Caenorhabditis elegans: one gene and its partner. The protein of the gene in region 1 purifies or fractionates together with the protein of each later gene. This does not show direct contact. Each region holds a gene or a part of one and is shown on either strand. Other genes may lie near its edges.

Region 1 (4,658 bases):
CCAAATTTGCACTATCCACTTCAAAACTCACCCAAAATGCCGAGCCTGTCGATTCCAAAAATGCTTGAATTTAGGAATGAAGCTAGCTCCTTCAAATGATCAAATAGTTAATATTGGCAATCAGTCTGATTATAACTTTGTCAAGTTGTTGGATGATTTGAAATTTAAAAACGCTCGAAATTATTTAAAATTTATAAACTTCTATTCTTTGGAGGATCCGAGCTTGTCCGAGATATTACATGATAAAATTATCATGAAATTTGTAAAAAGGGTTTGCTAAAATTCTGCAATTTCAACAGCACTCATATATTTTTTTCCAGACATCCGAGACTAAAATTAACGTTCAACAAAACTGAAATATGTTGTCTTACACTCGAATATCCTATTTTCTCGATTTCAACTTTATTCGAGACCTAGATTGACAAAAATACACTGTTTAAATATAATATTTTGAGAGCTGGATGCTTAGCACTAGCCATGTGCTCATAAAACAAAAACAAATCGAAATTAACATTTCCGAATGATGCTGATATTTTTCCATCTGAAATGTATAATCTTTGTGGAAGTTCTACAGCTGTTCTGAATCAAGTGTCGGGACAAGTGATCGCCAAGTTTACAGAATTGAAAATCAAACAAGAAGAGTATTTTCTTCTAACACTGCTCATGTTTTGTAACACCTGTAAGTTTTGGTTTTTGAAAATCTAATTTTATAATTTTTTGAAATTTTAATCTCTATAGCACGAGTGATCTATGCGACAAAACAAAATTCGTTTTATCCTCACATCAACAAACCTACTGCTCTGCTTTGCTTCGTTTTTGCCAGCTGGAATATTCGAAATCTGCACCAACTCGATTCGCAGAGCTTTTATCACTTTTTGGAATAGTGAACAAGTCGGTTGATAATTCAAACTATTTGAACATGATGCTTCAATGTTCCGATCCAAGTTCAAGAGAATGACGCAGGATGTTTTTTTTTTTTGACACCGTGTAATAATACGATATGTTTACCTTTTAGAACTCACATCATACTTAATCATACACATGACAATTGTTTTTGATTTCTTTCAATTTTTTTGCTAATAAAAAAATTTGGAGTAATCATACTGGGGTGCTATTGAAAACTTCCGGCAACCGGCAATTTTCAAAGCTATCAATTTTTCAAAAATTACAAAATTCATTTTTTCAGGATTTTGTGAGTTTTGCAAGAAACTATTATAGAAAAAATACGATCGCACAAAAATAAACAACGACGCAACGACACTCCGCTATTTTTAAGCCCCTCCCACGATTTCATTTGCACTGCGGCCGCCACATTTCAGTGCAAATGAAATCGTGGGAGGGGCTTAAAAATAGCGGAGTGTCGTTGCGTCGTTGTTTATTTTTGTGCGATTGTATTTTTTCTATAATACATATATCTAGGGAATTCTCTTCTAACAAAATTTCCTAAAGTCTCCATAACTCTATGATCAACGGTAAAATTGGAGCATTTCAAAAAATCAAAAATTTTGTGCATAAAATCGGAAGATCACTAGACAACTCCAGCTGATAAATCTTTACCAAGTTATCAATAGATCAGAACTTATGTGTCAGTGCATAAGAATGCACTTCACTTTCATGCGTATTTAAAAGAAACGACTTTACATTTGTGATTTCTGCTGCAAATCCCGTGATCAAAGTATCAAAAGCATAACATATTGTGTTAAAGATCTCTGCCTCACTTCCTCCTCCAAAATTCTATATATAAAAGAGCCGGAGTTGGCACTTGCTCTCTGAGTTTTCAGGCTTCAATTATGACTAACTACGCAAGTATTGCTAATTTCAAGACCGAGGAAAGTGTTCTTGTAAGAGAAAAGTGTGTGATATGTTTTGGATCGGCGTTGGGGATGAATTATGGGGTGAGTTAAAATTAGTTTAGTGGAAAAAAATATTTCAATATTAAAATTTTACAATAAAATGTATTAATTTTTTCTCACTTTTAGTTTTAATAAACGACCAAAAAATCCGATTTTTAAAAATTAATTTTATATTTTAACTTCGTTTTGAAAATTCTGAAAATAGCTCAAAAAGTTAAAGTTTTTAAATTTTTGACAAATTACCAAAACTTTTTCTTAAACTTTCAAAATATTACCCTGGGAAAGTTGGGAAAATGAATGTGAAAAAAATCTATATTTCGGAAGCAAAATAATTTTTAAAGAAATTACATTTTATTTTAAAAAATTTGAATCGTTATATTTTTGGTAATTTTTCTTTTATAGGCATTGACTTGCTCCGCGTGCAAGATGTTTTTCCGAAGATCTGCTGAGAAAAAATTGAGCTACAACTGCAAGAAGGACAATCAGTGCTCAATTGCTCAACGGAAATGCCGAGCTTGTCGTTTTCAAAAATGCCTGAACTTTGGCATGACATTTTACTCATTCCGGGGACAACTTGCTCAAAATTTTAATAATCTCGATCAGAAGCTGGAGCTCCTTTTAAAAGAGCTAACAATAAAAGATGGGAAAAACTACACAAAATTCATCAACTACTACTCAAATGAGGACCCTTCTTTAGTGGATGTTCTAAAAAACTCGAATGTGATGAAAATGAAAAAGCGGACACCTCACACCGTCACCGATTCCCATGACTGGGCATTCTTGGGGATCCATGCGAGGATTTCCTATTTTATGGATTTCGAGTTCATAAATAAGTTGAGTTTGAATGACAAAGTAATCCTTTTCAAATACAATGCTCTACGCATGGGATGTATGACTGAAGCAATGCGATGCTTCACTGCAAAAAGAGCATATTTGGTAACTCCAAGCGGTGAAGATGTCTACCTGCCGATATTTCGTAGAATATTCGAAAAGACTCCGGCGCTTTTGGATCAGACATCTTGCATGGTGCTTTATAAGTTTATAGAGTTGAATATTACAAATGAGGAGTGCATTCTATTGGCGCTGATTTTCTTTTGCAATCCTGGTGAGTTCTGCATAGCAAAAATGAAGGAAAAATTGCTTAAAACACAGATTTGAGTTGAAATTTTTTCGCCAAGATATGTTTTGAAAAATTTAAGTTTGAACCTCCTGCCCAATTTTTTAAGGTTATAACTTCGTTCAAGACAAAACTTTTCAAAATCAAAATTAAAATTTCGGCGAAAAATTGTTTAAAAATTGAAATTTTAATTTGGCACCAAAGATTTTTTGAACATTTAAAAAAGTTTTCAGTCGAAACTATTTGACAAAAAAATGCAAAAAAAATTAATACCAATTTTTGTTGAAAAATTAAAATTTGGACTTCCCGGCCATATTTTTTTGCAAGATTTTTGTTTGAATTTCTCGCATCAATTTGTAAAAAATTTTAATTTTAATTTCCTGACAAAAATTTGTTTCAAAAATTAAAATGTGCAATTTTTACCAAACTTTTTAAAACGATATTTTTATTATTTCTCGCCGAAACTTTTCAAATTTAAAATTCAAATTTCGGGATAGTTTTTTTTTAATGTTTTTAATTTGCGCAAAAATTTGAATTTCCTTGAATTTAATACTTTAGCTTTTAGAACAATTGCCATACTCAATTTTAAGAACAATTTGGCGAGAAATTAACGTTTACAATTTCCTTTTAAAAATATTTTTTGAAAATAAAAATATTTTTTTCAAACAATTTTGGCTGGAATTCGCATTTCAATTTTCTAAAAAAAATTGTTCAGCAATTTCCGATGAGCTATCTGAAAAAGCTAAGGAGACACTATCCCGACATCAAAAGCGTTACTGCTCTGCATTGCTCCAATATTGTCAGTCAACATGCCAAAAATCCGCACCTTCTCGGCTCACTGACCTCCTATCCTTGTACAATGTCACCAACAAGGCTTATGACGGTTTTCAATACCTTTGCATGACTTTCCAATGTCTTGCACCAGATTTTAGAGGGAAACAACTCGTATATGATACTTGTTTGGACATCGAGAAAAATAATAGTAAAGAAAATTCGTCTCAGAAGGTGCAGAAGCAAAATCAGAAAATAAATGGAATCTTTTAATGTATAACTCGTATTCACGGAATTTTTAAAAATTAATATGTTAATACATGTAATTTTGAAACAAATCATCTAAACGAAAATAAGAATATTTCTCCCTACGTGCCTGCTTGCCTGCCGCCTGCCTGCCTACGTGCCTGCCTAGCACTTGTCTTTCTACAATCACCTCTTTTCTTAAAAATGTAGTTTTCTGAAAATCTATCGATTTTTTTGAAAATTCAATTGTTTTGTATATTTATGATTTTTTTTCGGATAATTCATATTTACATTGGAAATTGAACTTCTTTTAAAAATTTATTGATTTTTCAGAAACGTTGCTGTATTTTTTGAGAATTTCCCATTTTTAAGGGAATTTTTATATATTAATTTCAGAAAAATTATAGCTTCTAGTGAAAAAAATCTTATTGCTGGGTGAGATATTCATTAATTTTCTATTAAAATGTGTTTTCCGAAAAAGTTTTTGATAAATTCATCAAAAACTTCTCGTGGAGAAGAATACCAAAAAAATTACAAAACCGACACCCTCCGAACAATCACGAAAACTGCAGTGGATTCTGAATTGAAAACAAATTAAGTGAAATGAATAAATTGGCTGATACCTTTCTTAAAAGCAGCTCTCAGTTCTCCATTAGACGCCAAAATTATTC
Region 2 (4,971 bases), 3.9 Mb from region 1:
GGAAATTTGAAAAACAACGACTTGCGGAACAAAAATTGGCAGATTTTGCGATAAAATTCGCTTTTAACCGTGAATTTTGAGTTATTACACAAAAAAGTTGGAAAATAAAATTTTTGCTCAAATGGCGCAGTAGGTCACAGAGATGGCTGGCACCCAGAAGGTCACGGGTTCGACCCCCAGCGTAGCCATTTTTTTTTCAATTGCGTTTCACACATTTAATTATTTTTTGAAAGTGTGCAAGTAACATTTTGCAGTTTTTACTAAGATCTTGAATCTGTCAAAGGGTTTTTCGAATTTTACCGGTTTTTTGGATAGTTCGACCCAAAATTTCAATATTTTGACGCCAGAAACTTTGAAAAATGCCCTAAAATAATTCTTCTGGCAATAAAAGATAAAAAATAAAATTTCGACCAAGTGGCGCAGTCGGTAACAGGGATGGCTATGACCCAGAAGGCCACGGGTTCGACCCCCCGCTAGAGTCAAAATTTTTTTTAAACTCTAAAGCTAAAGACAACGCAGTTAAAAACTATCATGACTTGGAACATGCCTATATTAGGCCTGAATTCGGTTCATTTCAGCCTATTTCGGCCCAAATATTTAAGTTGCTCAAACCTAGCCAATATGGGTGTTAAAACTATCCAAATTTCACGGAGAATCTGAATTTTTAAGTTACAACTCACAAAAAATTAGGGAAAATTGGTCACCGCTATTGGCTCTATGCCATACATGGCCCAAATTGAGTCCAAAACTGCTCTGTGTGTCCGGATGTCCTTATCAGCTGATATCATCAGTTTTCCCCCGCATATCGGTCACTACTAATTTGCGAGTAGCCAGCCGCCGTCTCTGCGTCTCTCATCGATCTTATCATCAACAAAATCGTAAATTGCCCGTTTTATTTGGACGAATCGGCATCTACCGTAACCAACAAATAGACTATGCTTTAAAATTGTTTGGTATGAGTGAAAAAGAAAAATATTGACCCTAGCAGGGGGTCGAACCCGTGACCTTCTGGGTGGTAGTCATCTGTGTTACCCACTGCGCCATTCGTGCAAAATTGGGATTTTGACTTTTTTTTTGCTCTGACCTTAAAACTTTAGGTTTATATGTTATTTTTATTTTTTCAGTTAGGAAACTATGGATTTTAGACTGATATTTAACAAATTAGAGTTGAAAATCTGTATTTAAAAGTTAAGCTGTGTTCTATGACATTTAAATTGATGAATCCTAGCAAATTTAACAAGAAAAAAAATTGACCCCAACGGGGGGTCGAACCTGTGACCTTCTGGGTGGTAACCATCCGTGTTACCCACTGCGCCATTCGTGAAAAATTCCAATTTTGATTTTTTTTCGGCTCTAAACTTCAACTTGTTGATTTTAGATGCAATTTTTTTAACTTTACAGTTTGTCGGTTCACACGAAAATTCAACAGGCTGGGCTAAAATTGACAAAATTTTAGCTGAAAATCGTTGTTGGCGTATGGCAAAGTTGCAAGTAAGTAAATCTTAGTGAGTTGCCTCTGCAAAAATTATCGTCCACAGCGGGGCTCGAACCCGATACCCTCCGATCCAAATCCATTCCTGTAACCTACTGAGCCACTTGTGCAAAATTCAATTTTGCAACTTTTTGCAGCCAAGCCCATTTTTCACCGTTTTTTCTCAATTTTTAGTCAATTTTTAGCATTCGACACAATCTAAACCCTCAATGTATATTGGCCAAGCGGTGGTGGACTGCTGGTCGGAGACGAGTGAGAGAGACGGGCCTCATGTGTCTGTGAGTGTGCGTGAGTGAGTGAGTTTGTGAGTGTGTGTTGAGCGCGCAAAAAAGAACACATTGGCCGTCGTAGTGCGGTAAAAGAGACGGAGAAGTTGCGGGGAATTGTTTGGGTGGTGAGGGGTTCGGGTGGGGCGGGGAGGGCGAGTCGATCAGCCGGGCCTCGCTTTCTCTGGCCGCTTCGGCATCTCTGATGTCTCTCCGTCTCCGGCACTCCCTCCCAGCTGTGTTGTCCGCCTATCTCTTTTGCCCCATCCATAGAGACACACTCACCAGCGCCCCTCTGCATACCCTCTCAGCTGACACACTAGAAAGGTCTGTTATTAGTAGTTGGCATATTCGCCTTTATTTTGCGGAAACTCGGCAATCCCCCCGGAGGAGCTTGGCTCGGCAATCGGCTCGCCAATCATGGATGATGAAGAGGAGATCCCTGTAAAGTACAAGCTCGACGGAGAAACCGAATGGCAGGTCAAGAAGGAGGCGGTGATGAAGCTCGGCAAGACTGAGTGGTAAGCTAGGGGGTATATATAGGTATATCTCGGAAATTATCAGAGCAATCAAAAAATTGTTAACTGAGGAATTGTAGAACTAGTTTTCAGCTACATTTTTGTAGTTGACAACTTTTTTGTATTACGTTTGGTTTTAGAGTTACAGCGTTTTGAAGTCTAGGGTCGGGAAAATCAATGGTGCGCAAAGGGGGAGGTAGTATAGGGTATATCTCAAAGATTAATAGCGGAATCAAAAAATTGTCAACTGAGAAATTATAGAGCTAGTTTTAAGCTACATTGTTGTAGTTGACAACTTTTTTGTAGGACGCTTGGTTTTAGAGTTACAGCGTTTTGAAGTCTAGGGTCGGGAAAATCAATGGCGCGCAAAAGGGGGGGGGGGGGTGTAGCATAGGGTATATCTCAACGCCTATAGGAAATATCAAAAAATTGCCAACAGTAAACTTGTAGAGCTAGTTTGCAGCTACATTCTGTTAGTTGAAAATTTATTTCTAGGTGCAGTGGATTTAGAGTTACGGCTCTTTCAATATCGGAGCCTACAAAATCAATGACTGCGGAGGGCAATGGTGCGCGAAAAGGGGGAGGGGGGTGTGCTAGAGTGTATCTTAATGACTATCAGTGATATTAAAAATTGTCAACTAAAGAATTGTAGAGCTAGTTTTCAGCTATATTTTGTACGTTGACAACTTTTTTCTAGGACACTTGGTTTTTGAGTTACGGCGTTTTGAAAGTTAGGGTCTAAAAATTAGGGGGCTCTGGCCAACAGGCCGTTTAAATCGGGATTTGTAGTTTTCAGGTCTTTTATCTATTTTCATAAGCCAATTGAAGACTGTAAAAAATTTTTGAGCCTAGCGGGGGGTCGAACCTACGACCCCTAGATTCATAGCCATCCGTCTTAGCCACTGAGCCACTTGCATAACTCCGTTATTTTGAAGTTTTTCAGCCCGAGACTAACTTTTTTGAATTGTCCTGGAAATTTGAGAAAATATGACACCCATATTGACTAGTTTCTGGTAAAATGGATTTTCAGGCCGTATCTAGGCCGAATTAGGCCAAATCTAGGCCATACCCAATTATTGCCGATTCAAGAGCAGTTTAGCACAAAAATAAAGTAAATGTTAAATTCATAATAGCCTATTTAAAATTGATGAAAAACTCGGACCCGTTTCGGCCCATTTTGGCCTATTCCGGCCCAAAATCTCAACTTTTCAGATTATAGCCGATATGGGGGACTTATTATCGGAAATTTTACGTAGAATCTAAATTTTTTAGTGCCAATACCTGAAAATTGAATTTTCAGGGCGATCCGTCTGAAACTGTGCAAGCAAGGCGAGAATCACAGCTACTACTCTCTCCACGTGGCAGCACTCACTCCAAACCAAGTGTCTCGGCTGCAAATAAAATGCACACATCAGGTCGAGCCGCCAGTCGTTGACTGGGAGCAGGAGTACACATTTGGAGGAGCTCACACCGTATTGGTCAATCCTTGCCTGTTGAAGATTGCCGAACAGAAGGTAAGGGGCTCGAACTAAGGCTCCAGCTGAGAGATGGATAGAGATACGGGAAAATTGTCAACTATGAACTTGTAGAGAAAGATGTAAGGTACATTTTGTTTGTTGATAACTTTTTTGTAGCATGTACCATTATTGAGATATACCATGTTGAAGTTGAAAATCAAAATTTGTACCTAGTACCTAGGACCACCAACTTCAAACGTCTGTAACTCCTTCAGTATCAGAAATATAAAAATTTTGTCAACTACCATAATAACCAGCTCATCAAGCTCTACAACTTTTCAGTTGACAATTTCCTTCTACCTCCTCAACTTGCATAGATATACGACGTTTCCCTCTTCCTATTCTCTGCCCCCAAAAGCTTAGAAAAGCTTGTGCGCGCATCTCATGAGCGCCGAGACAGTGTATAAGACGAAGAGACGCAGAAAACCGAAAAATACTCATGTCTAGGCGTATGTGTGTGTGTAAATGTCATGTGCGCTCTCTCCTCGCTTCCAAAACCCGACAAAAACATCGATTCGGCCGTCTCCAAGCGAAAGGGGAAAATGGAAGTGTTGGGGGGGACTGTAATAGACTTATAGAACATTTACGGTGATTTCAAAATTTAAAAATATAACCATTATGTAGAGGAAGTTTTGAGCTACAAATTGTTAGTTGGAAAATTTTTGCTAAACCTAAAAGCTTTGAAGTTACAGGAGCTTGAAGCCTTCTTCCAAATACTTCAGATTTTTCATCCTAAAATTCTGAAAACTCCATAGTTTTAACTTTCCAATGTGAAAAGTGTGTTATATACACTCAGAAAAAATTTTGTAACCCTATCCGGGCTCGAACCACCGACCTCTAGGCCAAAACCATAGCTGTTAGCCACTGAGCCAATTATCCAACTTTTTTATTTTTAGAGTTATCGATTTGTAGTTAAAATATTTGAATTCTCCGTAAAATTTGCAAAGTTTTGACACCCATATTGACTATATTCCGATGAATTTGGGTTTTGGGCCGAAATAAGCCGAAATAGGCCTGAATTAGGCCGAAAATCAAGTTTTGCAATACTTTCGGGCTTTAATATTTTGAATAATCAGTGACTGGTTAGCTACCATTGCTAGACACCGTGAGGGAATTTTCGGCCTGAATCGGCCTAATTCGGCTTAATTCGGCCCAAATCGGCCCAAATTTTCAATGTT

What was found.
Region 2: the proteins of nhr-198 (region 1) and Y43F8C.3 fractionate together in Caenorhabditis elegans (co-fractionation; one large-scale study listed by BioGRID). This does not show direct contact.

What each region holds. Positions count from the first base shown.
Region 1 is NC_003283.11:15,692,204-15,696,861, forward strand, and holds nhr-198 (Nuclear receptor domain-containing protein), read left to right. Parts: upstream 1-1,790; coding exon 1,791-1,895; intron 1,896-2,255; coding exon 2,256-2,958; intron 2,959-3,685; coding exon 3,686-4,014; downstream 4,015-4,658. Other genes in the region: srx-29 (7TM GPCR serpentine receptor class x (Srx) domain-containing protein), read right to left, coding at 4,582-4,658.
Region 2 is NC_003283.11:19,619,554-19,624,524, reverse strand, and holds the start of Y43F8C.3 (BTB domain-containing protein), read left to right. Parts: upstream 1-1,898; 5' UTR 1,899-2,178; coding exon 2,179-2,279; intron 2,280-3,576; coding exon 3,577-3,790; intron 3,791-4,971.